Styela clava: one gene and its partner. The protein of the gene in region 1 binds, or shares a complex with, the protein of each later gene. Links are inferred from orthologs where the notes say so. Each region holds a gene or a part of one and is shown in the gene's direction. Other genes may lie near its edges.

The links.
Region 2: the proteins of GPI-anchor transamidase component PIGS-like (region 1) and GPI-anchor transamidase component PIGU-like are in contact, whole or in part, in a cryo-EM structure (PDB 8IMX), measured with the Homo sapiens proteins. The link is inferred for Styela clava from reciprocal best matches to the Homo sapiens genes PIGS and PIGU. Residues at the interface, in NP_149975.1 of Homo sapiens: Ala4, Gly5, Ala8, Thr9, Glu12, Arg15, Arg18, Ala19, Phe22, Phe23, Val26, Leu30, Leu34, Trp35, Thr38, Thr39, Leu510, Leu511, Phe513, Ile521, Tyr522, Leu525, Phe526; in NP_536724.1 of Homo sapiens: Gln118, Phe282, Glu283, His284, Phe285, Leu287, Phe288, Phe289, Cys291, Val292, Phe293, Ile295, Phe299, Tyr300, Ile302, Pro303, Ile306, Lys307, Lys309, Glu310, Thr417, His418.

What each region holds. Positions count from the first base shown.
Region 1 is NC_135261.1:15,375,200-15,390,976, forward strand, and holds GPI-anchor transamidase component PIGS-like, read left to right. Parts: upstream 1-7,541; 5' UTR 7,542-7,665; coding exon 7,666-8,229; intron 8,230-8,800; coding exon 8,801-8,986; intron 8,987-9,333; coding exon 9,334-9,508; intron 9,509-10,100; coding exon 10,101-10,786; 3' UTR 10,787-11,217; downstream 11,218-15,777. Other genes in the region: uncharacterized protein C6orf118-like, read right to left, coding at 11,627-13,270; spermatogenesis-associated protein 17-like, read right to left, coding at 14,004-15,098. UniProt on the Homo sapiens protein: Component of the glycosylphosphatidylinositol-anchor (GPI-anchor) transamidase (GPI-T) complex that catalyzes the formation of the linkage between a proprotein and a GPI-anchor and participates in GPI anchored protein biosynthesis.
Region 2 is NC_135263.1:4,001,022-4,016,618, forward strand, and holds the start of GPI-anchor transamidase component PIGU-like, read left to right. Parts: upstream 1-7,972; 5' UTR 7,973-8,084; coding exon 8,085-8,086; intron 8,087-9,577; coding exon 9,578-9,705; intron 9,706-10,439; coding exon 10,440-10,504; intron 10,505-11,182; coding exon 11,183-11,254; intron 11,255-11,796; coding exon 11,797-11,859; intron 11,860-12,378; coding exon 12,379-12,482; intron 12,483-13,894; coding exon 13,895-13,995; intron 13,996-14,348; coding exon 14,349-14,446; intron 14,447-14,970; coding exon 14,971-15,098; intron 15,099-15,582; coding exon 15,583-15,597. UniProt on the Homo sapiens protein: Component of the glycosylphosphatidylinositol-anchor (GPI-anchor) transamidase (GPI-T) complex that catalyzes the formation of the linkage between a proprotein and a GPI-anchor and participates in GPI anchored protein biosynthesis.

The sequences.
Region 1 (15,777 bases):
TTTGACAGCGATGAAAAGATTTTTTCTCTTGGCCATATACTAATTTTTACAATTAAAACTATTCTATCTTCTCCCAGGAGGCAAAATAGTTTCGTAGATTTTGCGTGGATCAAACTTTCGAAAAACGAAGCAAATTGCGACATGGATATTTACTATATCCCACTAGAAAGAGCTCAACATTTCCAATTATCCTTTCCATCTATTAAAGATCACATTAGCTTCAAATTATCTCAAAGATATGATGAAATAATCTTGTTCAGGCTACAAACAGGCTATCATCTGCACTAAATTGGCTGCCACGACAGGGTATTTGCGACATTTGCTCGGAAAACGAAACCGTCAAACATATCATGGTATATATTTTGTTTCTGCTATGATGTCTCAAGATCATTTTTATTAAGCATTGCAAAGAACCGAATATATCCCCCGTGAATATTATCAATTTGCTAACAAATCCCAGTATTATACCATTTGTCATAGAATATGACGATGTGCCATCATGACGGGAAGAATCATTTCAATATATAGCGAAAAGCGTCTTTTCTGTAAAACGTGCAACTTTTGGAAGGGGGAACAAGGCAATATTGGTTACTAAATTTCTAAGGAACATTTTAAAATCATTTTCAGGTAGTTACCTTATGTGCGCTACGAAACTGAAAGATAAATGGCCTCGACTCGCGGCCTAAATTGTTTTAGCCTGATATCATAAAAACGCAATAACCTCCACGGAAAACATTTCACCTAAGTCTTCGGTTGAGGGCGAAGCGCACTTTAGTCGGTATTATTGTAGTGTGCGTACCAGGTTGGGGTTAGGCCATAATTTTATTCCGATTTTCCTTATTTTAGTTCTATTACGAGTTCGGGTAGCCTACTGTTTGTGTTAGCCAGACCCTCTAAACTAATCAAGATCTGGAGAATATGCAAGAAAAATTGACGCAAATGGTTGATTTGTGCCAAATCCCACAAGAAATGCATTACGCGCCTGTAAAAGTTGGAAGTCTATCGACAAAACGAGAGAGCCTTCAAATGGTCCCACGGAAATGAGAGAGAAGCGCACTCTATATTTATATATCCCTGTGGCCCTGATCCAAAATTTGAATTCGGAGTCCGACTCCGAACAAGAAAAACTTTGACTCCTGTTTCGCAAATCTATTCTTGACATATTTGAGTGTTTACTACAGAAGCAACCTAAAAAACATGCTGCGCTGATGTATTTAACATCTGAACACTTCGAAATTATGCATCATCGTGTACCCGAAACTCACATTCAAACATTTCTGCCCCCTAGAAAAAAAAGAGTTCATTAGTGCAACTTTTCTAGACCTAAAGTAGGCCATCGATACCGTAAATCATAACATTCTGTTTTCAAGTTGAGACATTACGCTATAAAGGAATATAGCAAATTAACTCATTTCTAGCTATTTAGGTGGCAGATCCCAGCATGTCCAAGTAGGAACATATTGTTCACTTCCCTTACCAATAACACACGGAGTTCCTCAGGGCAGCTGTTTGGGCCTGTTGCTATTTTTAGTTTTAATTAATGACATAACCCATTGTTCTTCGCTATTTTCCAAAATATTTGCCGATGACACCAATCTCCTTGACAGACAAATCTCATTCCGGTCTCCAATTAAGGGTGACAATTGAAATTTCAAAAGTAGCAAATTGGATGAGGGCCAACAAATTAACAATAAACACTGACGAATCAAAAACAATGCTACTATCTCCATATAAAAGCAACTGTCCATTAGAATTGATGGTATGATCCTTGAAAATTTGTGATTTGAGGAGTCACCTCGAACTGACAAAAACAATCAGCAATTTAAAAAAAAAATAGTCAAACGTTATTACCGACTTTCGTAAAAATTCCGTTTGTTCGCAGTTGAAGTAAATTTTTATATGTAAATAAAAAAGAAAGTGTCTAAATTCAGCATGCTCGAGGGCCGAATAAAAAGTTGCAGCGGGCTGGATGTGGCCCGCGGGTCGCAACTTGCCCAGGCCTGGTATAAAGGGTCGAGTCTTATCTTGGATAAAGCCCTTTTTATCAAACTGGTTATTCCAGGTACGTGTTGGATCTACGTATTCTAACAATTCCTAAATGGAAAATGGTATTGTTCAAAGAAACGTGATAAGTTCATTGCTATTTACAATTATGATAAACGATCTTCGAAATAATAATTTTTCGATACCCAGAACATTCGCTGATGATTGTGACATTAGTTCAAAAATCAACGAACTTATATCGGACTTGCAAACGACACCAAATCAAATCAGTTAGTGGTGTCCTAAGTGGAGATTTACCATCTCGATGACGTGTGCTGTATTATTTTCGAGATCACGTAAGTCTCCACCAATACATCTCTGCATTGATGGACAGGAATACCAGTTAAATTGAATACAAATATCTTGGCGTTATATTCGACAATAAGTTGACATACAAAGCTCATGTGGAACATGTAACACACAAATCTGATAAAAGATTAAATTTGTTGAGACTTTTTACGGGCACTACATGGGGAGCTTCTAGAAAAATCTTGCTTTAATTTATACAGAGTTCTAGTACGTTGAATAATTGAATACGGAACAGAGGCATATTATTTTTCACCGAAGCATGTAATTAGAAAAACCTGCTGCCTAAATGATACCTGTAAAGAGATTCCGCTGAAATTTCGTCACCAACAGGCTTGCATGAAGTATAAGAAAAAAATATTATTGAATACGCCATATCCGCACACCAACATAATAGAACAAACATGGCGCGAGCTTTATCCAAAATCACCCATTTTTAAAACCTGTAACATGCTAACAACACCGGATGTTTTAATTGTGTACCAGCTCTTCAGTCACCACCGTGGGAAATGAAATTTCCAATTGATTTTATCGCTTGCTAAAATGATATCAAAAACAAATCTCTTACCTATAGGTAAACAAGCATGTGGTGAATATATTTCCGAGAATAACAAGCAGTACTTATTAATTTATACGAATGGATCAACGACGGATACGAGATGTGGTTCTTCATTTTGTATTTAGAAGCACGATGTTTCACAAATAAACATTTGCTGCGTGTAGGACATTGCTTTGGATAGTTTTGCTTCGACCGTGACATGTTTTAATTTTACTTGAGGCTGTGGCGGGACTGGAGTTGTACTATTTTTTATTGTTTATCATTTTATTTATATTTCTTGTCTGGTTATTGCATATGCATTGGTGTGTGGAGTCTGAGCCCCAATTCGCCCGACAGTTGGTTTCAGTTACTCGACTCCAACCACCACTGCATATGTGAACTGGCTGCAGTTCGCAGCGTTCGTTCTTCTTGCTTATGCTGTCGCTGGGTGAGGACTGTATTTTGTCGCTTTTATTTTATCTGCTTTAAGCGTGAATTTTACACTATTTTAATAAAGTCTCTTCGTTTGCATCGTGAACTTCGAACCTATTTGTGTGTCTTTGCAGCGCATTGGATCTTCTGAACTAATTATTACAGTATTACTAGACTGTATTAGTGGCGAGCACCTACCGGTATTCCGGTTAAGTCGTACCGTTGCAATTGTCTGGGCTTTGACAGCGATGAAAAGATTTTTTCTCTTGGCCATATACTAATTTTTACAATTAAAACTATTCTATCTTCTCCCAGGAGGCAAAATAGTTTCGTAGATTTTGCGTGGATCAAACTTTCGAAAAACGAAGCAAATTGCGACATGGATATTTACTATATCACACTAGAAAGAGCTCAACATTTCCAATTATCCTTTCCATCTATTAAAGATCACATTAGCTTCAAATTATCTCAAAGATATGATGAAATAATCTTGTTCAGGCTACAAACAGGCTATCATCTGCACTAAATTGGCTGCCACGACAAGGTATTTGCGACATTTGCTCGGAAAACGAAACCGTCAAACATATCATGGTATATATTTTGTTTCTGCTATGATGTCTCAAGATCATTTTTATTAAGCATTGCAAAGAACCGAATATATCCCCCGTGAATATTATCAATTTGCTAACAAATCCCAGTATTATACCATTTGTCATAGAATATGACGATGTGCCATCATGACGGGAAGAATCATTTCAATATATAGCGAAAAGCGTCTTTTCTGTAAAACGTGCAACTTTTGGAAGGGGGAACAAGGCAATATTGGTTACTAAATTTCTAAGGAACATTTTAAAATCATTTTCAGGTAGTTACCTTATGTGCGCTACGAAACTGAAAGATAAATGGCCTCGACTCGCGGCCTAAATTGTTTTTGCCTGATATCATAAAAACGCAATAACCTCCACGGAAAACATTTCACCTAAGTCTTCGGTTGAGGGCGAAGCGCACTTTAGTCGGTATTATTGTAGTGTGCGTACCAGGTTGGGGTTAGGCCATAATTTTATTCCGATTTTCCTTATTTTAGTTCTATTACGAGTTCGGGTAGCCTACTGTTTGTGTTAGCCAGACCCTCTAAACTAATCAAGATCTGGAGAATATGCAAGAAAAATTGACGCAAATGGTTGATTTGTGCCAAATCCCACAAGAAATGCATTACGCGCCTGTAAAAGTTGGAAGTCTATCGACAAAACGAGAGAGCCTTCAAATGGTCCCACGGAAATGAGAGAGAAGCGCACTCTATATTTATATATCCCTGTGGCCCTGATCCAAAATTTGAATTCGGAGTCCGACTCCGAACAAGAAAAACTTTGACTCCTGTTTCGCAAATCTATTCTTGACATATTTGAGTGTTTACTACAGAAGCAACCTAAAAAACATGCTGCGCTGATGTATTTAACATCTGAACACTTCGAAATTATGCATCATCGTATACCCGAAACTCACATTCAAACATTTCTGCCCCCTAGAAAAAAAAGAGTTCATTAGTGCAACTTTTCTAGACCTAAAGAAGGCCATCGATACCGTAAATCATAACATTCTGTTTTCAAGTTGAGACATTACGCTATAAAGGAATATAGCAAATTAACTCATTTCTAGCTATTTAGGTGGCAGATCCCAGCATGTCCAAGTAGGAACATATTGTTCACTTCCCTTACCAATAACACACGGAGTTCCTCAGGGCAGCTGTTTGGGCCTGTTGCTATTTTTAGTTTTAATTAATGACATAACCCATTGTTCTTCGCTATTTTTCAAAATATTTGCCGATGACACCAATCTCCTTGACAGACAAATCTCATTCCGGTCTCCAATTAAGGGTGAACATTGAAATTTCAAAAGTAGCAAATTGGATGAGGGCCAACAAATTAACAATAAACACTGACGAATCAAAAACAATGCTACTATCTCCATATAAAAGCAACTGTCCATTAGAATTGATGGTATGATCCTTGAAAACTGGTATATATAGATAACAAAATGAAGTGGGATACTATATATTCTTCGACATTTTACATCTCTAACCACTTTACGTATGTAATACTACCTTTTGTTCCAATCCCATATTGAATATGGCATAGTGGCATGGGGTTTAGCGATTGATTCTATATATTTTTTCAGAAATTTTGACACGATGGATATTTCTTTCCCATTTAATCATTTTTCTATCGACTTACTCTCTCGATTCGATTTACGTTTCTCAAATTTCCTCTTTACTTATTTGAATCCAGCTAAATTATTTGACGTCATCTGCTGCTGAACTCGGCACTTATGGACCATAAGTTATGGTGTCGCTGACACCAGAGACAATGCATAACGGTATTATTGCATGTACATTCTTATGTAAAATCTATGCTGACACGATGACTTGAAAAAATTGTGTGTCTTTTTTTTGCCTTGATTTAGTATTGTTAGTGTTTACAATGTTTCATGTGTCAGTTTTTTTTTGGAAAGATGTAATCCTGACGTGTCACCATCCTCGCCATTGTCACAGTTTCGGGAGATGTTGCTACTGTGGTTGTGAATGAATCAGTACGGCAATTCCAATATAACAGTCAAACAAAACATCACCAAAGAACTAAAAACACGAAACATGAAAATTTATATACACACAATATAAACGCAGACGCTATTGTCCGCGACAGATGCACGACAAAAATAAATAATCTGAATCTGAAGAGAGTCAGCATTATCATCATATATCAGTGGTTCTTAAACTTTTTCGAGCGCGACCCAAATCTGAGTTTTATGAATACTCGCGACCCAATCCTAAATAACGCAAAATGTGTTTTTAATGTTAGTACAGTTTGACTCAAATACAGACAACTATTTATTAGAAACAGTCCATTGACTCAGTGAGATTGATGAAACTGAAATTTCCTTTTCATTATATCTTCAATACACAGCTCTATTTTACATAACGCAACACGCAAGTTGTCACGGGTATCGAGGCGATTGCGAGCTTAGTTTTGATAACCGTCAGTGCCAAATATCCTCGCTCGCACAAGTGCCTTGTCGCGAATTGTAGTGTAGCAAGTACATAAGGATAGTTACTGTGTATTTCAATATTTTCACCACTTATTGTTAGTAGTGCATGTTATTTGCCTGAAACAAGGTCGTTGTCCCAATTCATTTCCTTTATGATATATTTCTCTCACTCAGTGTAGCTTGTCTTTGCCGTTCTTTGTTAGTTAGAAATTTGGTTTCATCACATATACTTGCTTCAAGGTTTCAAGTGTAATTCGTTATTTGGATCAATTCGATTGTGCAACTTTACAATATAACATTTGGCATTCAATACATTGTGTGCTTATTGACCTCTGAAAGAGTCAAGATCGGAGTTACACTCTGTTAACGTGTGTTCAATAACACGGGAGTGTGGACACGCTGATAGGGTCGAATCTTTGTTGCCCTATAGTAGCAACAGAGGCGTCCGCTGTCCGTCGCAAACACGACATCCTAGCTGGCCTTCGGTATCTCTCGCAATATACAACTTTTTACTCATCAAATGTGCACACACCGCTTCGTTCGCGGTAAATGGTGCCTCGAGATGAAGTCACATTTTTTCTAGATATTGAATAATCTAATGTCGAGAAGCGAGCTTTTTCATTGCGTCGTCTATTACAATTTACAATACCAAAACGACACCCATTTTTGGTTATTTTAATCCACTAAGACGACATTCCACGCGGTCAACACAACGTTGCATGGTTACCGATACCATAAAAATAATACACGTGACTGGCATATCAGAATTGTGATGTAACAATGAGCTCAAGACAGTTCTTTCCGTGAATGAAATTTTATATTCCATTATTGGAATTGAAACATTGGGAAATCTGAAAATTCGTCCGTCTCCTCTTTGATTGCCCTTGCATTAACGACCTTGTCGCGACTCGCGACCCATTTTTAAACCTTCCGCGACCCATGTTTGGGTCGTGACCCATGCTTTAAGAACCACTGTCATATATGCTGTTACATCACACACGTCTAAAATCGAATATAAACACCATGTCCATGAGTATAAAATATACTCGGGAATTCCGAGCTATTATTCTGTCGCTGAAAGTTTATGTAATTTTTTTGTCAACTTTCTTTTTCTACAATAATATTGATAATGTAAAAATAAAAACAGATCGTCGTATCGAGATTCGAAAAATGATATCCCGCGTGGGGATTCCTTCAAAAACGAATTGATAATTGTAGTAGTTCTGTCGTATATCGGGAACGCGCGACCGTCTGAACGTTCGAGATTCTCCCGCACCAGAACGACACTACATTCTGACATTAATATGGAGAGTCTAAATGACAGGCGGTCTCAAATGCAGGCAGCTTTATGCATGGGATTTGTCTTTCTCTGTTTTGGAATTCCTATTTGGTGGAAGACAACAGAAGTCTATCGGGCAGATATTCCTTACTCGGAAATAAGCGATCTGGTAACAAACTCAAAAATCTCCACCAAAATTATTGTAACAATCGCATCTATTTCCGAGCAGCTAAACGAAGACATCAAGAATAACTTTGAAGGGTCGTTTGGTCTCGAATTTGTTCAAATTAGTTATGAATTTGACACAGTTGTGCTCACACAAAAAGATATTCAAAATATTAAACACCAAAATAATGCAATTGAAATTAGTTCAATATATAAAAACGACATAACCCTGGTATTCGAAATTTCAAGTGATGCTGAAAATGCCAAGGTAACATTTCAAGGGAACCGAATACTTCTCATTGAATATAAAAGCCTGGAAATTTCAAAAGGATTGATGAAAATAATTAATGAAAACATTGTAAATGCTGAAGCTCTCAATGATGCAGTGGGAAAAGCATTTGGTGCAAACATTCAATTTTCAAAGGTGAGAATTTGATCTTTAGAACATTAATATGTAGCGTACTGCAGTACTGTCTTTATTTCAGTATTTACAATAATCGCAGATACCTATCTTCCTCATCCTATTTCAATGGATACAGGAATAAGGATAAATACAGAAATAGGTTGATAAGTCTTGCTGAAAATGGATATGAATAGATTCAGCTCTATTGAAAAGTTTCTGATGAGCTCTGGTTTCTTGAGTTTTCAGGTTTTTGAGGGTGTCAAAAAGAGGGTGGTTTACCGGTACCACTTTCAGACTTTGCAATGATGACAGCATCCATTATCTTCAATATCCTAACTAGTTTTGTAAAAATTAAGGAGTATTGTAAGATTGATCAATCCAATCCAACAATAGACACCTACCTCCCTACCAACCACTTTCTTGAACTTTTTATTGAAAAATTAATAAAAAAGGACAATGAACTTAAGCTCGCGACATGGCCGGGTTAATAATATCGTTTAATTAGGCATCTTGATGAATTTATTTGAAGGGCATTGGGGAAAATTTGGTGTATTTAGAATTTTGTTTTATTTGTTCTCTATTTCGCCTTCAGGACAGAGAGTTTCACATGAGGAAGACTGTACAACCAGACAAAGGATATGACATTGTTTTTTCATTGTTATGTCCAGAACCAGATAAACTGCAAGCAACTTGGAATATGGAAGAAGCAGTTGACATGTATCTTAAACCTATGATTAAGAAGTTGGGAAACTTTGCAGAATTTCACATTGGTTCTCAAGTAACATAACTTTGTTGAATAATTTTCTTGATAATTTTTTCAGTAACTCTAGAATCTAAATTTTAATCTGCAGTACATAAAGTGTGAAATTAGACATTTATTCGTTATTACTAAAACTTTTAGGTACAATCAGACACAGACGAAAGTGTTAAATAAATCTGCATTTTCATAGAAGTAATTAGGAAATTTAGGTACTTTTTTGCTTGAAATTTTTACCCCTGGTTGAGAACCCCTAAACTAGATCTCCATTTAGTGAACTCCGTTGATCAAAGCAATATGTTCTGACGGCAACCCATACTTCAAATAGTCCAAATACTTGCACCGTATGCCTAAATTTTACAATTTAGATTCTCTACTATTCTGGATTGTCTGTGAAGCCAAAGTCCAAAACTCTTGATAATATCAAGCAATTTTATCTAACGCATGAACAGCTATCTCATGTTGTGAATCCAATCGAATCAAGGCTTGGTGCTCAAATATCTCCAAACCCAACTTTGAATTTTGTTGTTTACATGTCAGAAGGTAAGTCGAGATAAATAATTTGGGGTTGATTTACAGTGGCATGATTCTTATTAAACTGATGATACTAAACCTACACTATGATTTTTTGCCAAATTATAACTAGATTATGCATGAACTGCTGAAAAAATATTGAAAAGAGAGAATTATGTATTGTATAATTATTAATTAAATAAAGTTTTTGAATAAGATTTTTTTGGTCAGACTGAAGTTGGATGTCATAGACCTGCTACATACTTAGGAAATCTATCTACTTGGCATTTTAATTTTTAGTCCTATCTAAAAATATAAACGTAGCATCTACAAAAAAAAAATTTTGATTCATGATTTGTTGTATTGTTACAAATGCAGTGAGATTACAATTGTGAAAATTTTCAATCGTCTTATACCGAGTTGATATTTTTTCAAATAAAAACAATTAAGAATATAGATTGGTTTGTTGATGTTATTATTAAAGACGAGATAAATGACACTTAGCAGTGATTCAAATTCATAGAAATTCTTTCTAATGTGACAGCATAGGGGTGATTGCGATCTTTAAAACCCCATTTTATTTCTTTGATTTATTTTTAATAAACCTCATGCTCTCCTTCAGATAACTACAATCCTCTTTATATTCAACATGCTGACGAGAGTTATTCAACTACCAACACATTTCTTGTTCCGAGATGGGGCTCCATCATGATCAAAAATGCACCAAAAAGCAACGATACTATCTTTCCTCATGTTGTTGAACTAGACAGTGTTGAAATCATGCAAGTGTTCGTGGCACAACTAAGATCTTTACTTGGTCTTGAGATGACTAAAACGCCCAATGATGACTTTGAAATAACTGTTGCAGACAGGGGAATTGCTGGCATAAGTGATTTGGAATTGAGTTATTTGGTGCGAAAAAGAACTTTTGAAAATATTGCTACGTCGGTACATGCTATTCATACACTCTCAGAACTCCTAGGGAAAATTCACAACATTGTTATCAATGATGAAATAGCAGGTCATATTTACACTGCTGTTGATGCAATAAAGAAAGCAAAAGCTTCACTAGATGAATCAGATGATCAAAGGGCGTTAAATATATCCAATATTGCCTTCAAAGCATCAGAAACAGCATTTTTTGATCCAACATTGCTTGAGCTGCTGTATTTTCCAGAAGATCAAAAATTTGCAATTTATATTCCTTTATTCCTACCCATCAGTCTGCCATTGCTAGGCTCATTCATTGCTGCTATCAAATGGTTGAGAATGAAAAAAGGTGATGAGGAGAAGCAAAAAACAGAGTGACATGGTGATCACTTTTGTGCTGAAGCGTGGCATAAAAATTTGAAGTTATGGAGGTGGCCTTGACTAAAACTTATGTAAACCCCTGCGAAATGTAGTAGTAGTTTCTTTATGATGTCATATGGAAAAGTAATGAGCATGATGTATTAACAATTTCTATATTGTTATTGGTAAAATTACAAAATTTAGAAACTATATAAGTAGCGGTGATAGGAGATGTATATTATTTATAACTGTTTGAAATGGCATACTAATTTGAATCAGGTACTTTTAATGTGTTGTCTTTTGAAGCCACAATTCTCACAGGACATTGTTTTATATTCAAATGAAATGATGTGTAAAATACTGGTTTATCGATCAACATTATTTTTTCTACTCCTTATGCAATGAATTGAACTGAGATAAATAAATACACTGTATGACACACATCGATAGTCCAGTTGTATGTTATTTTCAAACATTCTGATAGAATAGACGTGTATAGTTATTCAAGTTCAACTAATCGGTTGTACATTGGCATAGAAAGAATTATATAAAAAGGTGAAAAATTCCATTCTCGTTTGGCAGTGCATATAATTTATGTTTTTGTTTGAGTTTATGAAAGTCGAAAAAAAAGCAATTTACTATGCTGCAGGGTGCTATTTTTATTTTATCTTCTAAAAAAAAAAACTGAAAAAGCAGGCGGTAATTTAATGACAAAGTTTCAATGATATCTCTGAGTTACGAATTTTGATTAAAATTTGAACAGTCCCATTATCTTATACCTTAATTTTATTTCAACTAAATGACTCAATCATTATTACCGGTTTTTAAATGGAAACTAAAATAAACACAAAACTTAAATTATGAAACACCTAATTCTAATAAAACCTCGTTAATGTTTTCTTTGCCAAGGGAGTCGAATTTTGCTAAATCAGCTTCTAGTGACTCTTGTTGTATTCTCATGTTTTTTGTTAAATATTCGTTTTGTTGCATCAGTTTTTGCATTTCATTTTCTGTATCTTGTACGGCATGTTGTAGATTTCTATGCAAAGTTTTTGGCACAAACTCTGACTTCAGTTCATGTTGTTTTTCAGATATACTGTCTAACCTTTCCCAAATATCTGCACGGAGATCTTGTAACCTTTTTTCGGTGTTTTTCTCTCTCTTTGCTGATGCTTGTCTTGTACTTTGCATAGTGACAGTTTTTTTACTTGAAGTTTTACTGGGTAATAATCTTCTCCTGTTCTCTTCTTCCTCTAATTCCTGTTGTCTTTTTCTTTCTTCAATAAGTGCACGTTCTCTCTCAATTTCTTTGTGTAATTCAGCATTTTTTAAAAGACCTTGCCTACCTTGTTCTTCTAAATCTTCCACAGTATTTTGCAGTGTTTCAACATCTTCTTCATTGGTTCCTGTCATTCCGTCGGCAGCATTTAAGCAGGACAAAAGTTCGGTATGATTTGTTGCTTTCATTTCATCAAGAAGGTCTGATAGATATCTGTCATATTCATCCTTAGTTTCTGATAAAATGGGACCAAAAATTGATGAATCCAAGCATAAATCATGCCATACTTCACCATAAGCTTGCAATCGTTCAAAATTAAGTGAATTAACTTGTTTACTTGGGTCGTTTAACTCCAGTAGTTTTCTAATGAGTTTTTGTTCCAAATGGTCCGCTGCTCTGTGTCCATCTCTTACATTCTTTTCCATTGTCTCATATCGATGTAAAACATTTCTGTCAAAATCCAGAATTTTATTAAACCGATCTTTTCTGGTAATTCCTGCAAAATGTGTTGTGACAAATTTTTTATCGGTTATTTCATGTATTTGCTGTTTGATGGAAGGGTGTGGATCTTTTAATGAAGGAGGTACTCTCACAGCTTCGTCAACTGCAGGCAACATTAATTCAGGCAATTTAATCTCTTCTGTCAAAGTGCTCGAATACTTGGATCCATATGGCACGACATACTTCTTTCTTGGAATTCTGCCGGGTGTTTTTGGCTCTTCTTTGGCAGTGCTCTGATCTGGCTTTGGAGTTGATTGTTCTAGCGCAAATGGTCCATCTGGCTCCGACATTAGCTTGGCAATTTCTGACAAAACCAATGACTCGAGCTTGTTTTCAGCCTTTGTGCCCCGTAGTGGAAATTGTCTTGATTTTTTGCGCTTAATCTTTTTCTTTTTTGTGCCTTTTGTTTCAGGCAATGTTCCCACTGTACCTACACTGAAATCCAACAGTGCATTTTTCATCCATTCCACTTTATTAACTAACATATGATCTGCGTTTTTTCGAGTCTCTGCAATTCTAGCAAAAGGATTTTCATTTTTCTCATCAACCATTCGAGAGCTTTTCCATGGCACATGTGAAGCAAAGTCATCCTTAACGGGCAGTTTTACTAATTTATCCGGATTTAAGTGACCAGAAGCATAATCCCTAATATCTTTTTTGTGAGCTAAGTAAGTAGCCTCGACCAAGTGGTGTAAGCTTCCGCTTTTTTCAGGTTTACTCATTTCTACTTATTGTAATGTGGGAAATATTACCTAAAAATATTCAAAAAACATTCATCGAAAAATTATATCAGACATACAGAAATGTGGCATTACAGAAAGCATGGGTGGTATATACAAGCCAAATTATATACTTAGCCAAATTATCATAGTACAATACTAGTTCTACATGGATAAATGTGGGTAATAATTTAAATGTATTACATAAATCAATGGTTAGTGATAAAAGTGAGATTGCTGCATGTTAGTAGTAGATGCCAAACAACTAGAAACTTGTTTTCTTTGGAAGTCATTATTTCACAGTTATTTCATTCTACATGGATATGTCAAAAATGTACATAACTGATCACGGTTCTAATAAAATATAACAGTGCTGTTACAAGGAACAACAAAAATTTTCAAGCAAATGCTTATTGAAAAAAATCACTCTTTTACAAGCATCCATATATTCTGTTTGGGAAGTGTCAAAGATATATTTTTATATACGATTAGAATGAACATTCTACATCACTTCAAATTGGTAATTTCTTACGAAATCGCAGAAAAGGTGTAAGTGAGTGAATTGTACACTAAGATTAAAAAAAAACTGATAACCATAGCTTAAGTAATCATTATTTAATGTATCCAATTTAGCTATAGTGATCGAAGCACCCAAATCCAGAAATCCCTTTTGATCAGTAAAATTAGCACTTCTGTATAGATGAATATTACAGTACAATGATGATGTTAAGAAACATTATTGCAGAACTACAGCACCTTTAGAATATGTTTGTTCAAACTTGTCAAAGACAGGAATTGGGGAAACTACAGTTTGCATTCTTTTTGTAGAGACATTCCTATTATAGTTTGTTTCCCGAAAGTATTTAACGCCATATGGGAGATGACCAAATTTGGAAGAAGTATGTAAAAGAGGTTCATAAGGTTTTTCTTTAGTGCTGAATGGTAGAAAAGGAACATCGATAACTCTGTCTCTCCATTCTTCCTCTTTCATGAGTTCCCTTCCTTCATGTAATGATGTAAAATCAGTTGAAACACGTAACGAAGGATTTAGAGGCCTATATCTTTGCCTATACACAATTACTGGATCCTTAAAGGGTCCTTGAATCTTTTCTTTCCTAATTGGCGGTAAAGTTTTTGTTGGAGGATGTGGCTTGAGAGTAGTATCTGTAGGATCAATCATGTCTAAAGAAACACTTGTTTTATATTGAGCTTGTTTCGTTTTCTGCTTGTGGTCAAGTGGCTGTGCCGCCCTTAATCTGAATTCCATTTCATGAGGATAGGGCCAGAAAGGAGAGTTGTATATACCAGGTTTTTGATGAGTGCTCAATAAATAATGATGCTTGCGAGCTTGATAATGTAGTTTTTTTTCTAACTCTTCATGTTTGCGCTTCTTGCGATCGGTTTCTAGTTGTTCATGATATTCATCCAATTCATTGCGAACAATTTGATTCTTTATAGCCAGGGCCTCTAGATATCGTTTCCTAGCATAGAAGTTATGAACATGTTCTCGAACATAAAAACCACGCCAAATTTTCTGAATTCTTGTGGCCATGCAGTTATAGAAATTCATTCTCATAACCATGACTGAATTGCGGACCAAGATTCGATAGAAACGGCGGCCCATGAAGCCACGCCAATTTCTTTGAATAACGATTGAACATTTTTGCAAGTGTCGCAAATAATGTCTCACACGTAATCCTCGATACCAGCTTTGAATTACGACAGCATTATTATATTCGAATATTCTATTTGCTTCGGCATCTTCATGGCTTTTATATTTGTCTTTCACCAGTTCTTTCTCCTTTCCTAGTAAACGAAGAAACTTTGCCATGGCACTGGCAAACTGACGATTTTTATTCTTAAAGCTAAACCAACTTCCCAGTCATTTCATTGTTTTCTGGCAAATTACGAAATGCAATCAAGGTAAAAAATAAATAAAAAAACAGCCTCAGATTCTCAACAACACCTCCGCTTAGCGTTGCTAGGATACAAAATGACTATATTGCCCTCTTGTGGCGAAACAAAAATAATTTGGAAGGTGTCCTCCGTGCATCGACTGTCTTTATCATCAACTTTTATAACAACAAATAAAAAGTTATAGATTAAGAACAATTAAATTTTAATAAGCCGTAAAACACTCTTTTCGATCATGGTTGCTAACCTTGCCTAATTTTCGTAGTTATCAGTTTTGATTGTTAAATTTGAGTTGAGTTGCGCGAGACTAACTTCCTATCTTTTCTCTATGCCTTTATGCTAGTTGATCCGTATGCGTATACTGCAAAGATACTGCAGCTGGAATAAACATGACTATTCTATCCAATTAAAGAGTCCAGCTGCACACTAACACAAATGTATTACTGTAACGTTTCGTTCGACCAGAGTCAGACTTCCTCAGACAAGCAGTTTACAACAAACTGCTTGTCTGAGGAAGTCTGACTCTGGTCGGACTCTTCCTCAGACAAGCAGTTTACAACAAACGACTGACTCTGGTCGGACGAAACGTTACAGAA
Region 2 (15,597 bases), on another chromosome or scaffold:
TCGCATTTTTGTGTGTTTTACATAGAGATTGTAACGAATAGATTGTACGAAACAAATAAAAATTTGTTCTGAGACGGGAATTTGCCAAAAACCAACGTTGGTTGGGACCACGACACAAAAAGATTGGGTTATAAGAAGGTAAACAATAAGCAACATATGTAGAAATTTTTTGTTCACACCTGAGTTGATAAATTTGAATTTGTATCGGTATAAGATGATCTTTTCATTAGCAGCGATCCAAGGAAGTAACTGTACAAAGCTAATAAACCATAAAAATATGCAGGAACTAGAGACAATAGATCAGTGGGTTGCCCGAGACCTGAGCAATGGGAGTCGGTTGCATCCACGATGACATCGTTAGTCAAACGGAGAAATTTTTCATCTGCCAGTCTTTTCTCAACTTTTTTTCACCAATCATCAAAAGGCCCTTTGTATCTGAAAAATAATGCCTGGAGAGTAGAATGTCCTTACTGCACGAAAGCTAATATAATTCCAATAAATGTCTTTCAAGTTTTGATCTAAATTCGGATGTCGTTTTTGAGCTTTTAATACTGTTAGGCAGTGGATTCCACAATTTAGGACCAAAGCATGTGATCGATTCTTGTGCTATTGATTTTCTCACATACGTAACAAAAAAATTTTCGTGACTTCTGCTATTTCGAATATTATTATTTACGAGAACACGATCGAAGCAACTAGGGAGTTGAACGTGAAAAAAACGTAAAATTATTGGTCATTTTTACACGTAACGACGGGCATTAGAATGTTTATGTCTATCTACGCGCATTTCCGTCGGAAAAAGTCATTTTTTTTGCATTGATGGGGGCCTGTGAAGTAATAATTAGAGGTGTGACGTCATCAAAATTGTCAATTGGACCCTTGAACTCGAAAATGCTGTAAATACAACCGTGAATTTTGGAGTAATCATTCTTGCTATAATAGTGGTCTTTGTGTTGTTTTGTTGGAAAATAACACAAGAAAACGTTGAAATAAAATTTTTTAACTAGGAATAATTATTAATCCTCTACTGGACACAAAATCTCGCAAGTTCAATGGAAATTTTGGCGTATAGAAAAAATATTTTTATAAGGAGTATATTGCTGAATAGAACTCTAGCACACGCTATTAAAAAGCCACGAGTGAAGCTTTAGGGCCGAATGGTTGACAAAAAATAATCCATGTAAAATGGTCCCAGAGCGACCGGTTGGGTAGAATTAGTGTCATTGTGGTAATGGTATGATGAACTTTTGTATTCAAAATTAATGATTCGATTCTAAAAATATCAATACGAAAATTCTGTTTGTCATTGGACTTTATTTGGCACAAAAAAAGGATTAATCAAAAAAAGTACATTGGACAGTAAAAAAGACAGTACGATGTAGAGATGGGTAACAAAAAATGTACAATTGCTTCAGTAATTTTGCGATATTTAATTAATCAATCTTTATTAAATCTACTTTACCTAAGAAATATTGAATATATATTCCATTTTTACGCATATTCTAATATTTGTTCAAAACAAGGTCGCTGGTGCTCAAAGTAAAAATGAAAATTGTACGCCAAAGTACGGTACGGTACACATAGAATGTGCAAAACAACCATTGAAGTACGTTTTTTTGCGACAAAATGGTGTTGAATAGCAAAATCTTTTCACTCTTGTAATGTAGCTTACCTAATTTCTATTCACATTAAATATAGTAAAAATATGGGCGGAAGATTTGAAGATGTATTCATGGAAATTGTGACAAAGTTTCCAACAACTGAAGAATTTAGAAAATTTGCACGATCTTGCGATGGTCTGGTTCTCAAGGCTCATGATATCAATACAGTAACTGAAAATAATGAATTCTCTGTCGATCAGCAGAAACTCAAACTACTTGCGCTTTGGAAGGAAAGAAACGGGAATATTGCAACTCCAGAAAGTCTAAAAGATCTTGTTACTAAATATCATCAGTCACAGCGGGACACAGTTTCTTTTGGTGAGAGGGTTGAAGATGTTTTTCATGAAGTTATTGAAAAAATTCCACCAAAAGAATTTAAAAAATTCGCAAGATCGGGAAATGGATTGTCACTGAATCAAAATAAAGTTGCAATTATTGCTGAGGATAATAAAGGTTCGTTCCATGAATTTGCATTTCAAACACTGTTGGCTTGGAAACAGAATCATTCTAATACCAGTGATGAGGATATAATACTAAAAATAAGGCAATTGACTGATGAGTATCTTCAAAACAAAGAAGACCCGGTTAGGCCTGTGCACGAATTCTCTGATGATTTGAAAAGACGTTTCACTTCATTCGTTCGAACACTTTGGTTGGTTCAGATTTTCATAAAAGCCTTGCAGAAGAGGAATGAAAGTTCAGACCAAGAGTTTGTTCCTATGGAAATAATGGCACAACGACAAAATTTGGATACTTCGGATGTTGAAGTCAGTGAGCCGACAATGCAGAATGTGAGCGAAGACTCCCAATTGTGAGCAAGAAAGTCAGACCTCCCCCCCACCAGTATCAATAATTGTTCTATTTGCATTTTTTGCTCGATAATGCTGGAAATTTCTAAAATTTAGTCAAATAATGGTGAATGCATTGATAAAGATGAATGTGACCCATAAACAAAGCACTTTTATTAGTGAATGTGACTGTTCATATATTATTGGGATCCCAAAATCCATCTTATAACCAACTATAGCACTGTAGAAATTTTAATTGGTACATTGATGTCTCCTGTTAGTTCAATACTTTCATAGTTTCACTCAGTGTAAACAAGATTTTTTTCAATTTGAATTTTTGAAAAAAAAATATAAAGATTCAAATTTCAACATTTCCTTGGAAACTCTTTTCCTCAATTTTTTTGGCTTCGTGCAGCGGTTGTCAACCCTATCCAAAAGTTCTAGAGACTCGGGGAGTGTTTATGCAATTTGCAAAGTGTGTATTTTATTATAAATTACATTTCTTATCATAAAATATTCCAATTAAAATGTAGAACAACAATTTGACATAGAACACCTGAAGGTCTCACTTATTCACGAGATACTAATAAAACAAGCTGATTTGATCATACCAGTGTATTTGAATATATTTTATCAATATACATATAATAGTACAGACTCACGGATTTAAATGGAAACCTGCGGAACCTCTGGACTGTGCCCTGAGGTGCCCTTTTTGAAAACAACTGCATTAGTGATTGCTATGTAGCCTATGTTTTCTTTTTAGTTTTATATTTTAGGTTTCTGGTGTCTCTTATCAAAAAATTTGAATAGGTTAGCCGAGCTTTTAATAATACCTATTTTTGCTTTATACAAAAAGCAAATATGCACTTATTGTATTTTTGGTGTCTTTTTTAATATAAACTTATTATGAATAATGACGAATTTAATTCCAATTTGAATGTTTTCTTTCATTTTCCCTCAAATCAATTTGTTGAAATCACATGCACTTACTCAAGGAGTTGCTATGGAGAAAGGAAAAAAAGTTTTGGGAAATCAATTGAATGCCATGAGCTGCTGAAACTATATTATATATCAGGGGTTCCCAAACCAGGGGTCGCGACCCCAAATTGGGTCGGAGTGATAAGTCGGTAGGGTCGCAAACAGGTCATGGGGTCGCTGAAGTATGGTAGAGGATGGATGTACAAATTATCTAAGATTTGACAAACCATGTTGAATTCAGCAGTTTGTACCATGGCTTACTGTAAAACAGGCCCATAAGCGTCGCTCTATGCTTAGCTATAGAAAATATACGTGCTTATTGTGAAATCACTGTTTGGTTTTAGCTTATTTTACTTAATACTGCCACATGACCATACTCAAAAGTCCAGTGAAAGAAGCTCTAAAGTTTCATGAAAAATATATATATTGACATGGGGTCGCACTGGACACTTGAAAGTTGTCTTTGGTGTCGTCATGAAAAAAGCTTGGGAACCCTTGTAATATATGATGGCTGGGCATTATGCTCTAACAAATGATGATTCATATTATATATTAACTGTGTTTTTGTTAGGTTTGAGTCAAAACTATATTAAATTATAGGAAGTTTATAGGAACAGAATAGAATAGAGAAAGAAAATATGGCTGTCAATGCGATTGTTTTATAATTATTGAATAAAAGACAGTGGTACCCAAATCGTGGCTTGCCTGACGTTTTAAGATGACCCACCGAACTTAAATTGAATAGTCTAGCATTCAATTTTTCCTTATTGTGTTCCAGATGCCACCAAGTGTGAATTCATTATTACAGTTTAAGTATGTGTTTGTTCAATTATAATATCCTTATTATACGGTATCTGTCCTTTGTGGGCACTCTCCTGGCCCGCAAGTAACCGTATGCTTTTAATTTTGGCCCCAATCAATCAACCTTGGGAACCACTGTTATAAGACATTCCTTCCATATTTTATAGAATATAGCTGTTATTTTCTAACCATTTTATTTGCTTACTTAATTTACCAAATATTTTCTATGCCATGATTTTGCTATTTGTATACAATTGATATTCATATAGTTCAAAAATTAATTATTCTTTGTATTTTTTATTAATTGTAATACCCACTGGCCATGGTTTGATTATGTTTGTTGCACATTAATTTGTTTTTGTTATATATTTCAGCAATTAAAATGTTTTAGTGTTGTTATATGTCTGGCAGAAAGTATGGGGACAGATATGAAGACGTTGAAAAAAGTTTTCAACAACTCAAGAATCTAAAAAGTTTGCACCATCTCTCATTGGTCTGGCCCTCAGGGCTCATGATGTCACCACAATTACTGAAAATAATAGATTCTCTGTCGAACAGCAGAAACTCTTGGATATTTGGGTCAAATTTGAATTTAAGTATTATCGATAATTCTTCGGTCTCTGACCGATATTCTCGTTTACCTGTTAATAATGTCGACTGCCAAAAATTTTCTATGGATAATATTGCTGAGAGTATGCAATTGAAAGTGAAACTTGTGAAAATTGATTTTTATTTATATTTTTACTCGCTGTAGTACCTACTACCAGCCATATTTTTATTATGTTTGTTCCCGTATTAATTTATTTTCATTGTATATATTTAGCAGTAAAGTAATAGTTATCTGTCAAGCCGGAAGATTTGTATTATCAACAGGGAGGCTATGCTTGGATTATAACAAATGGATGTACATGTCTGGGAATTTTATTTATTTTAACATTCGTCCTTTTGCAGTGGAACCTTTGAATGACCTTTTAACCTTGACTAAGCGGAACAATATCATGGCATGGTATTGTAAATATAATCAGTAGCCTGTGTATGTGACTGGTTCTGCTTTTTCAATAAATCAATATGGGCGAGGTCATTCAAATGGTGATTGGCACCATGTAAATCTACTGCACTTGCCATCTACATAGCAGCACAACATTCCTTTACAAAAGGGCCATTCAAATAGAAATCCTATATATTAGTTCCTATTCCAAACCTGCAGTCCATATCTAGCCAAATAGTCATCAAAAGAGGTTAGCTATTTGGTTATTGATTGGAATGAAACCGGGTATTCATTTCTCTTTCCAACTTGCTGTCTATTATAGTCTGGTACTAGTCCCTCTCTATGGAAGTGGCTTTTTAAATGATGAGTGGAATAATATGTCCTTCCCCTATTTCTAACCTGTTCATATTGTCCAATATACCACCATGAAACGGGCCAATTGGGACCATAATATCCAGTGGTCTGTTCCATCACAGAAGTCATATTTTTCGGCCGGTTCTGTGATATATTTTTTTAGTAATGCTAACCGGTTTGCTGATCTCATAAAATTCCGCGAGACGGTTCTATAGAACCGGTGCGAACCGGCTGAATCCCACCACTGGATATATCCATTCCTACTCTCAAATTTCTGTGTATATGTATATGGCAGTCCAATATAGACGAGGCCCATAATCTCCAGCCCAATAGAAAAAGGGGTATTCAAATGGCATTTAGAACCATATATTCACCAGTATTGCAATTTTATATGATTTGTGTAATTCTGAATCCAATGCCAGTGGACAGTATCTTGTTTGATATTTTGATTCCGTCTTTTGCATGCTTGAGTTTTTTGATACAGCAACGTCAGCAAGTTTTTGTCATGCTCGAATCATTTTATCAAATTGATTTGTAAATTCCTCTTCAACAGTATTATGGATTCTTTAATTAGCATTAAAGATTTCCAAGTTCAAGCAAAAAAGCATCTTACACAAAATGCAGTTGGGTTCTATAATTCTGGGGGGACAAATGAACAAACGTTACATGAAAATTGTGAAGCATTCAAATCTTGGCGATTTCAACCCCGAGTTTTAAGAGATGTTTCAAACGTAGACTTGTCTACTTCGGTGTTAGGAAAGACCATAAATTTTCCTATTTGTATTGCACCGACTTCACTTCAAAAAATGGCTTCAACAAGAGGAGAAATTGACTCTGCAGAGGCAGCGGGAAAACTCGAAACATTATTTACTTTAAGCTCGATGTCTACTACCAGTATAGAAGAGTTAGTCTCTGAAGTTCCAAACGGTTTGAAATGGTTTCAACTTTACGTTTTCAAAGATAGAACGGTGACGAAACGATTGGTTGAAAGAGCAAAAAATAATGGTTTTTCAGCTCTTGTTTTGACTGTTGATTTGTCTGTACTCGGCCTTAGATATGCTGATGTTAGAAATAAATTTTCTCTGCCATCAAATTTATCCCTAAAAAATTTTGAAATTGAAGCATCTGGAGAAAATTACAAAGTTAGTGGCATTAAAGAATCTGGAATGGCGGAATTTGCTAATAATTTATATGATTCTACTCTCAGCTGGAAGGATTATGATTGGTTAAAATCAATTTCAAATCTACCAATCATACTCAAAGGAATAATAAGCACAGAAATGGCACTAGAGGCAATAGAACATGGCGTGGATGGAATCATTGTGTCAAATCATGGAGGCAGGCAATTAGATGGAGTCTCTGCTTCAATAAATATCCTTCCTAATATTGTGAAAATCGTAAACAATAAATGTGAAGTATATTTCGACTGTGGGATTAGGAATGGAGGAGAGGTAGCGAAAGCTATTGCACTCGGAGCGAAAGCAGTGTTTATAGGACGTCCTGTGATTTGGGGGCTTGCTTGTGGTGGGGTGCATGGAGTCAAAAAAGTTCTAGAAATATTGAGAGATGAATTTGAATTGACGATGAAGCTACTTGGAGTCACCTCTATACATGAACTTCAAACTGTTCCCAATTTAGTAATCCACGAGTCGAAAATATTTGCAAATCTTTAAAATTGCATTTTAACATATCTTTATTGAAAATCATTGAAGTGTGACTGGTCAGAATATTTTGGTTTCTGACTATGCATGCTAAATCATTGAAGTGTGACTGGTTGTAATAATTTTGTTTTCTAACTAGACGGGCCAAATCATTGGAGTTTGACTGGTCCAAATATGTAGCCTACACAACACTCATAACCTGATGTTGAATGCAGGGTTTAAATGATATTCTCTGTATCTCAGTGACTTCATTGTGAATATATTGAATCCGTTAGGCTGGCAAAGCACTTAAAGATAATTGGGAAGCTTGGCAGAACGTGAAATGTTCATTACATTATCCATTTTAATCTGGAATAAGTTAAAAATATTTTCATTTAAATTGTCATTTGGACAGCTGATAAGCAAACTCAAATCAGTAATCATACTAATCAGTAGTTACCTTTTCTACCATCCTGAGAATGCACTTTGTACGAAATAATATAGAAAATCGTGTAACTGGCTCTTTTGATAACTGTAGAAAATCAAAGCATGTACATTATTACAAAATTCATCCTCAATCTATAATTATTTAAGACATTTTTCTGAATATGTTCTGAGCAGGAAGACCTTTATATTTAATCTTCACTCACTTTTACATCTTTAAAGTAATTTTTTTTTTTTAATCTTACATGTGAAAATCCAACTGTTAATAATAATTTAAAATGCAATTCATAATGCTTATGCAAAGTAATCAAAAATTAATGAGAATTTGTATTTTTTTCAGCTAATTCCAGTTAGGCCAACTTGAAAATACCTTAGATAAACTTTATATATCACAAACTTTGTTTCCCAAAGCTGTCAACCGATCAAAATGTAAGTAATATTTATATTTACAAGTTCTAGCATTGTTGAGTGTCAGCAACACCGTTCAAATCATGATTCTGACTCCCTCTGTATGGGGTTTCATCAGCAGGGGCAATTTCCGGGTCTAGTATAGTTTAGTACCACAAGTACTTTCAGTGGGCGTAGCATAACGATTTTTGCATATGTTATTCCTAATCCCCACCTGACTATGCCATCCATAAATTACGTCACTACGACGTCACCATCACGTCATATGGTTTGCAGAAGTATAATTACGATCGCCCAAAATGATATCTGTGTCGCCGATAACGAACTCGCTGAAGCCGGCGATCTCTCCTATCGTGATCGTTGTGACGAGAAAACGAGAGAAATAGCTTGCTCGATTTCGGGTGATCGCATCCGCATTCTTTGGTGCGCCTTATTACGCCACTGTAACGTTGAAAAAACGTAATTTTTCGGTGACGTAGTCAGGTGGGGGTTAGGATGGACGGTTCCATTACATTTGAACCCACGTACATTTGAACCCATGACAATTGCACCTGTATGCTGTTGCACCTATGGAATTTTTTTTGTTTCACGGATAGTTAAACCCATACTAACCCTAACCCATGGGTTTTAGCACCCGCATATAGATTGAACCCGTGGATATACGCATGGGTTCAAATGTACATGGGTTCAAATGTACGGTCACCGGATGGACATATGCAAAAATTGCTGAGCCAGGCCAACTAGAAGTGCATGTGGTACTAAACTATACCAGACCCCAATTTCCAGGATGGGAGATGGGGGTCTGAACGCAATTTTTAAAATGTAAAAAAATGCATTTTTCTGTCTCATACATACCAATTTTTCAGAGCTTGAAACACTTTTTAGATTCTCAAAGACCTCCAGGGCAAGGGTCTATCCAGGGAGGAAACACTCCTTTTGAAATAACCACCCAGCTATTATCGTACACAGTCTATCTTGGCAATTAGAATTTTCACAAACCCCCATTCCTGGCTACCCTCCTCTGCAGCAGTGCTGGGTGTACGTTATTGCATGTTTCATTTGAGTCGACTTTTCGACTTATATTTTCGAACTTCCGCAGTTGCGAGTCAGAGCCCGAATAGAAATTTTGAAATTCATGGTGAGATTTCCGATGAACCAAAAAGCATTAGGTAGACTAATCATTCTTCAAAGACCAAAAAAAGGCCTCCGCACACCTCAAGTTTTTGTAGGTAAAAATTATTAGTTTTCTGGTTTGTTGGAGCTAAATTTATGTCTTTTTGTCAACAAGGAGTCGAATCTGCGAGCTTGTAATCTGGTGTAAATTTCCCCCAATGTCATGGCCCTGTCATTGCAGTTTCGAATTTGTGGATAGGTTTGTCAGGGAATTGCTGGACTCACCATCGTGGAGTACCTAGTATTCTGCGATGACTCGTTTAATTTTTTACCAACTGTTATACAAGGATGAAGATACGCAGTCAATTTTTAAAAATTAATATCGTATTATTCATTCAGGTTATCGAAAGAAAGCAGCATTCTTATGGGCGTGGCAGTTAGGGCGTGTCTCTTTGCATCTTCGAGCATAGAAAAATGGTTGATTGACAGGCCCGAAGTTTCAACTCCCCAATCATCATGGACTAGATGTGAGTGGATTATTGTTAAAGTTGTTCAGAAATCAATATTGCTTGAAAATCACCTCATCCAGGGTTTGAATGGCGATTTTTGGCGCTTCAAAAATGTGTGTACCAATATGGAGGTAGTTAATTTTGTTTGCCTACTTTACATAAAGTTGTGTAAAGGGACTGAAACCTATGGGCAGGGGGTATATTCACTTCGCTAACACAGACAGTCCCCAAACTCGTAATAGAACTAAAATAAGGGAAATCAGAATGAAATGATGCCCTAATTCTAACCCGGTATAAACACAATGGGAGTACCAATTTGAACCTGAAGTTTGGCGAATATGTCTCAAATGTCTCAAGAATATGTATAGGTATCACTATACCAGCTCACAGAACACTTATCCTTTGCAATATTTAGAAAAAATCTATTTTTTAAATTTTAACGTTCACTGTTTTGTCCTGATTTAGAAATTTTGAAAAGCTGGTTCCTTTCATGGCAGTGCTGATGTATAATTCAAATATTCGAATGAAACTGACTTTCCTCTATGGCTCTATGTTCAGTTTTGTTTCTATTTTCATTTTAAATTCTTTTTGTGCTTTGACTAGGAATGACTAAAGAATTTGATTCAAACAAAATGGTAAATTATACCCATGGAAGGCATTAGTTCTCCATATGATGAAGCTGGTTTATCAGTTTTCTCTTTCTCATGGGTTGAATATCTGATTCGTATCCTAAGTATTGACTTTTGTTTCAGTGAAAGAAGGAATGGCACTTCATCAATACAACATATCTTTGTATGACGGGGACTCTTTCCATGATGTGAGTAGCAGTATTAATTGTGCAATATTATTGATACCGTAAATCAAAGCTTGTGCTCACACAGGGGGGGGGGGGAAGGTAGATAATTTTTTGAGGGCAAGTGAAGCTGATTAAAAATGAAAATATTCGTCAGATTTGATCTTGCTTGTCGTATTTGGATTTTTACGATCCATCCTTGTATTTTCGATATGTTTTTTGAAAAAAAAATACTTTCGCCATACTATCTGTTATTTGTAGCTTATTGTTAGTTTATTATCTTTGAGGTGGGGCGCGAGACTCTAGGATTAAAGAGTTTAAGAACCATCGATTTATATACCAAGTAATTGGCAATTCCACGAATAGGTTTAATATTATGTCTGGCATGCCATCTGATGGGGGCGGGCCTTATTTTAAATGCATTAACGAAAGCTTCAAGGCTTGGTAATTACCATGGCATTGTGTCTTTGTTACTGCTTTATCTGGTAAAGTGAATGATTAATGGCTTCAGGAACGAAGTCCTCGGAGCGTTAAATTGGTAAGAAGTCCAACTCAATCGTTGAGTTGGGTGCCACGAATGTTTATTCCAAATGGGCCACTCTGGGTGACCATATCTGGCAATAAGGGGATAAACCGGATGGCGGACAAGTTTATCGAGTTTCATTACAATAACACTAATGAATAAATTCATTTTATTTTCAGACACCATTGATGCTCCACTTGTTTCTAAATTTGAAGAAATTTTCTCCACTGTTGTTTCCAATCATATTTGTAGTAAGTTTTAGTTTGTGTGACATTGTATTCTATTGCTAGGATTGTACCACTTCAGAATTATTTTGTTATTTCGAATTTTTCTAGACACTTCATTTCTAATTTGAAAATTGATCCATTTTGCATTGACGCCTTTCCAATTGACTAGTCTAATCTCGGTCATGTCTCATTTATTATAATTATGTGCAATTGCTGGTCGGTTACGACATCCTCCACCATCAAATTCATGCATCTGAAACTAATAACTGGCTAACAAATCCCATACCCGACATAGACTGGTAACTTGACGAGATGCCATGGTTCTCTATATGATTAAGCCGTCTTATCTGCTTTCTAATCCCTCAGGATAAATATGTAAATCCTATCCTAAACACTTCAAGTCTACTGTCATTCATTTTTTATTGGCATATATAGTGAGCCAGTGCTCTTCCATATAGTTCTTATTATTGCATTAGTTTTTACTTGCAATTATGATATATCTTCTATCTGTAAATATTCCTTGAAAGGACGATAACATATTGATAACATATTTTTCTTATTTTTAGCTTGCTGATGTTGTGGCTGCTTTGAGTCTATTTTCTTTCACCAAACTCTACTCGGAGAATGAGGTGAGTGGTTTACGTCCAATGTTAGTGTTTAGGAGTGTAAGTGTTGAAGTCGTTGTGGCATTTTCAAACTATCCAACTGGTTAGAAATCATAATGGCTACAGCTCCGAAGCTTCATTTTTACCACAGAGCTGCACATCAAGATTTTAGGACTGATACGGGAAAACTGCGGTCCGTGGGGAAAATCCGGCTCGTTGTGCGATTCAATCTGGCTTGCCTGATAAATTTCTTCTTTCAACCAAATCTACATGCACTACGTAGATGTTGTTATTGAAATCTGAATTTGTTGAGATTGTAATTAAATTTAGTTTTGGCATGAAGTATATTGTTTTCGACTTTCGGTATGGTAACACTGTAAATAAAATTTTAGTCATAAAATGTAACTTTAAGTCACACTTACATGGCCCGCCAGTCTAGGTAGGTAGGCACAGTTTTTGGCTCATTGTTCAAAAACATTGCCCACCCCTGTTTTAGAATGATATGTGGATTGATTCTATATTTCCCATTCCTGCAATTTTCAGATATCAGAACAGCAGAAAAACAAATCCAAATTTGCGAAAGATTCCGACAGAATAATGATCAAAGAAAACAGAGCAGAGTGGATTCCTGATCTAATCTGCATGTTGTAAGTTGAATACTTTAGACCAGTGGTCTGCAAACTTCATGTACTACTGGGCCAATTATGCCCATTGGCGGTAGCATGCGGTTACATTAATTTCATCCCATAAACTTACAATTGTGACGCGCCTGCAACTGCTGTTTCTGTGTTAATTACAACTGGCGGTAAGCACGTTTGCTAGTAAACTGACATGTGCTTCCTCTACTTCTACAAAATAAATGCCGTAAAACAGCCATTGTTACAGCAAACATCCGCAGATAATAAATTTACGAGCAATTATCGGTTCCATGCATTGAAAATGAGGTTGTTCGGGGGCCACAAAAAATTTGCTTGAGGGTGGCATTTGGCCCTCGGTCCACAGTTTGCCGATCCCTGCTTTAGGCGTTTAGTTTGAATTGAATTCAGAATTATTTCTTCTGGAAACGAAATCTCTTTTGTCAAAAGATCTAGGCTGAGCTGTCAAATTATATGTTAGCTCTGGATTCCAAAGCTGACTCGTTTCAGCTCAATGTCACATTTACCTCGGGGTACTATCCTTCAAGTCCGCTAGCTGTTCATAAGGACTACTGAAATAGGTTTAGTCAAGAATTAAACGAGAATATTGGTCGGAGACCGAAGACTTATCGATCGAAATTGCGGTTTCGATTCATGACTCCATAGTGACACCTTGTGTCCCATCACTAATTAATTAATAACTCGCTAATTATATGACATAATTCATCCAAAATCAATAGGCTTCTGGTCCGACATATAATGAATGCACATGCAAAATCTGGAGCAGATTCAATCTCGCTTTCGTGAGATATCGTGTGCATCTAACAGACATACAGACGGGCAAATACCTATCAACATACTTACCGCTTGAAATTGATAAGTAAAAAGTCACAGTGTATGGTTTTTCTGCACGGTTTATCATCTCCAATGAAATTTTGGTACTTTCGTAATGTGTGTACCAGGTTGGGGTTAGGCCATAATTTTATTCCAATTTTCCTTATTTTAGTTCCGATTTTTCTTATTTCTGTGACAAAATTCAACGCATTTGGAATATTCAGAATTGAATTAATTCTAGGCCGAATTATTGAACTGTTCGAATAATAACGGCCATTTGTGAGGGTTCTAGGACAATCTAGGAACCAGGGTAGCCTCAAGTGTTCTCAATCTCTACCCTTCTTGAGATAGATTGAGCAGTAAAAGGACCATGCTTTAACTGCTAAAAATTCAATGATTTATGCTATATTTCGCACACTTTTTGTTTTTGCTAAATTCTGAGTGATATTGGTCACTGGTCAAAGAACGTTGAATTTGTTACAGTGGGTTGCATCAAAGGTTACCTTTCATCATTCAAGATGAAGGTTAAAAAACGCATAGTAAAAATGTGTGTTTTGGAAACAATTTTTACTATATTTTTCCACTTTCAGATACATGTTCAATCCGTTCCTGATTGCCTCCTGCATTGCAAAATCAACAACGGTTTTCAATAATTTATTCCTCTGTCAACTCTTCTATCACACTGTAAAAGGTACCGGTAATTATTTCTGTGTACAACATTCTCACTCTGAGCAAGCTACTAATTTTGAAAGGGCCTTAGGCTTTCAGTTCAGCATTGCATATTTGCATTATCAATTTATTATTCTACGAATCCATGGGTACGGATAGTGTGGCGAATATGGCCCTTGGTCATGCCACCATTGCATAATCATAAAATAATATGGTTCCCTTTCTGAATATTCATTATTTAGATCGCCATGACTCTTATTGTGCCTGCATTGAGCATAATAACGTCATATTTTAGATATTTATGGTGTCCTCATGGAATTTTACTTCAATCCTATCCCAGAATTTCAAACTATGTGATATTTTGTTCTGTTTCAGGCAATGCAGTCCAATCAACACTGTTCTTAGCTTTGACAACTTATCAAACTTTTTATCCCGTTCAGCTGCTGGCTCCTGTCATCATGCATTTTCATTTGGTAAGACTTGTTTTTATGAAATTTTTTACATCCTAATAGGTTCTTGTATAAGCAGCCACTGATAAGAAAGGAGATATTAGTTTTACGGTAATTAGACTGAGGTCTTTCCGTTTGTCTACCCAATTTGTTACAACTTGGAGGGAGTGGTGGGTATGGGGCGAATCTAAAACTGCGACAATAGGTGCATCGCTTCAACTGTTAGACCATTGAGGTAACTGTGTTTTGTATCTAATATCAAAGTGTGTAAAATCGATTGACATGTTTAATAATTTGAATACAAAAAAATGAATTTATCCATATAAATTGTGTCTTGTTTAGTTGTTTGTAATTTTTTTTATCCAAAATATTTTTTTTGTTGCTTTTTCATTTTGCTTCATTTGTATTTCGTCCTAGAAGTTCTATGTTTCATGTCATTTTGTTATTTCAATCACTGCGTGGCAATGATAGGTCATCGTACGATATTTGTATTATTGTAATGATTGTAAAATACAGTTAAATACATATAAAAAATATTTTGTATTCAGAAATCATCCTCTCATATCTATGCAACATCGATGAAAATTACTCTACTTTTCACTGTATGGAGTTTGATATTGTTTGGAGCATCTTGTATTGAATCATGGGATTCTGCATTTGCTACTGTGAAATTCATGTACGTTTTTTGTAATTTTTATAGAGTGTGATGAACCTAATACAGAAAGAAACAAACACTAGGCTTTTATTAGCTCAAACGTCGACTAAGAGTCTTAAAGCAGCACAAACCGAAAAATGACTTTCAAACCAAAACACCATGCTAAAAAAGGACGAACAGTATACAGCAGGGTCAAATGTTGTGGCTGTTTTAGGCGTTGCTATACCACATAGAGTGTTCTGCAGAGCTGTGGGATCGAGTCTCAAGTCAGGGACCTTTACAAGTTATCCCACCCTACGAATATCACTAACTCTTTTATTTTCATTTTTTGTTCCATACAGACAAATACCTATCAACATACTTACCGATCTTAAGATCGATAAGTAATGAGGGCTTCATCACAAATGAAACCTTTGCATATATATTCGGAGTGTTTTTTATCTATAGCCCTGTCCATAACAAAGTTTGTGAACCATATTTTTATCATTTTATTTGACAATTTCAGAGTCACTGTACCAGA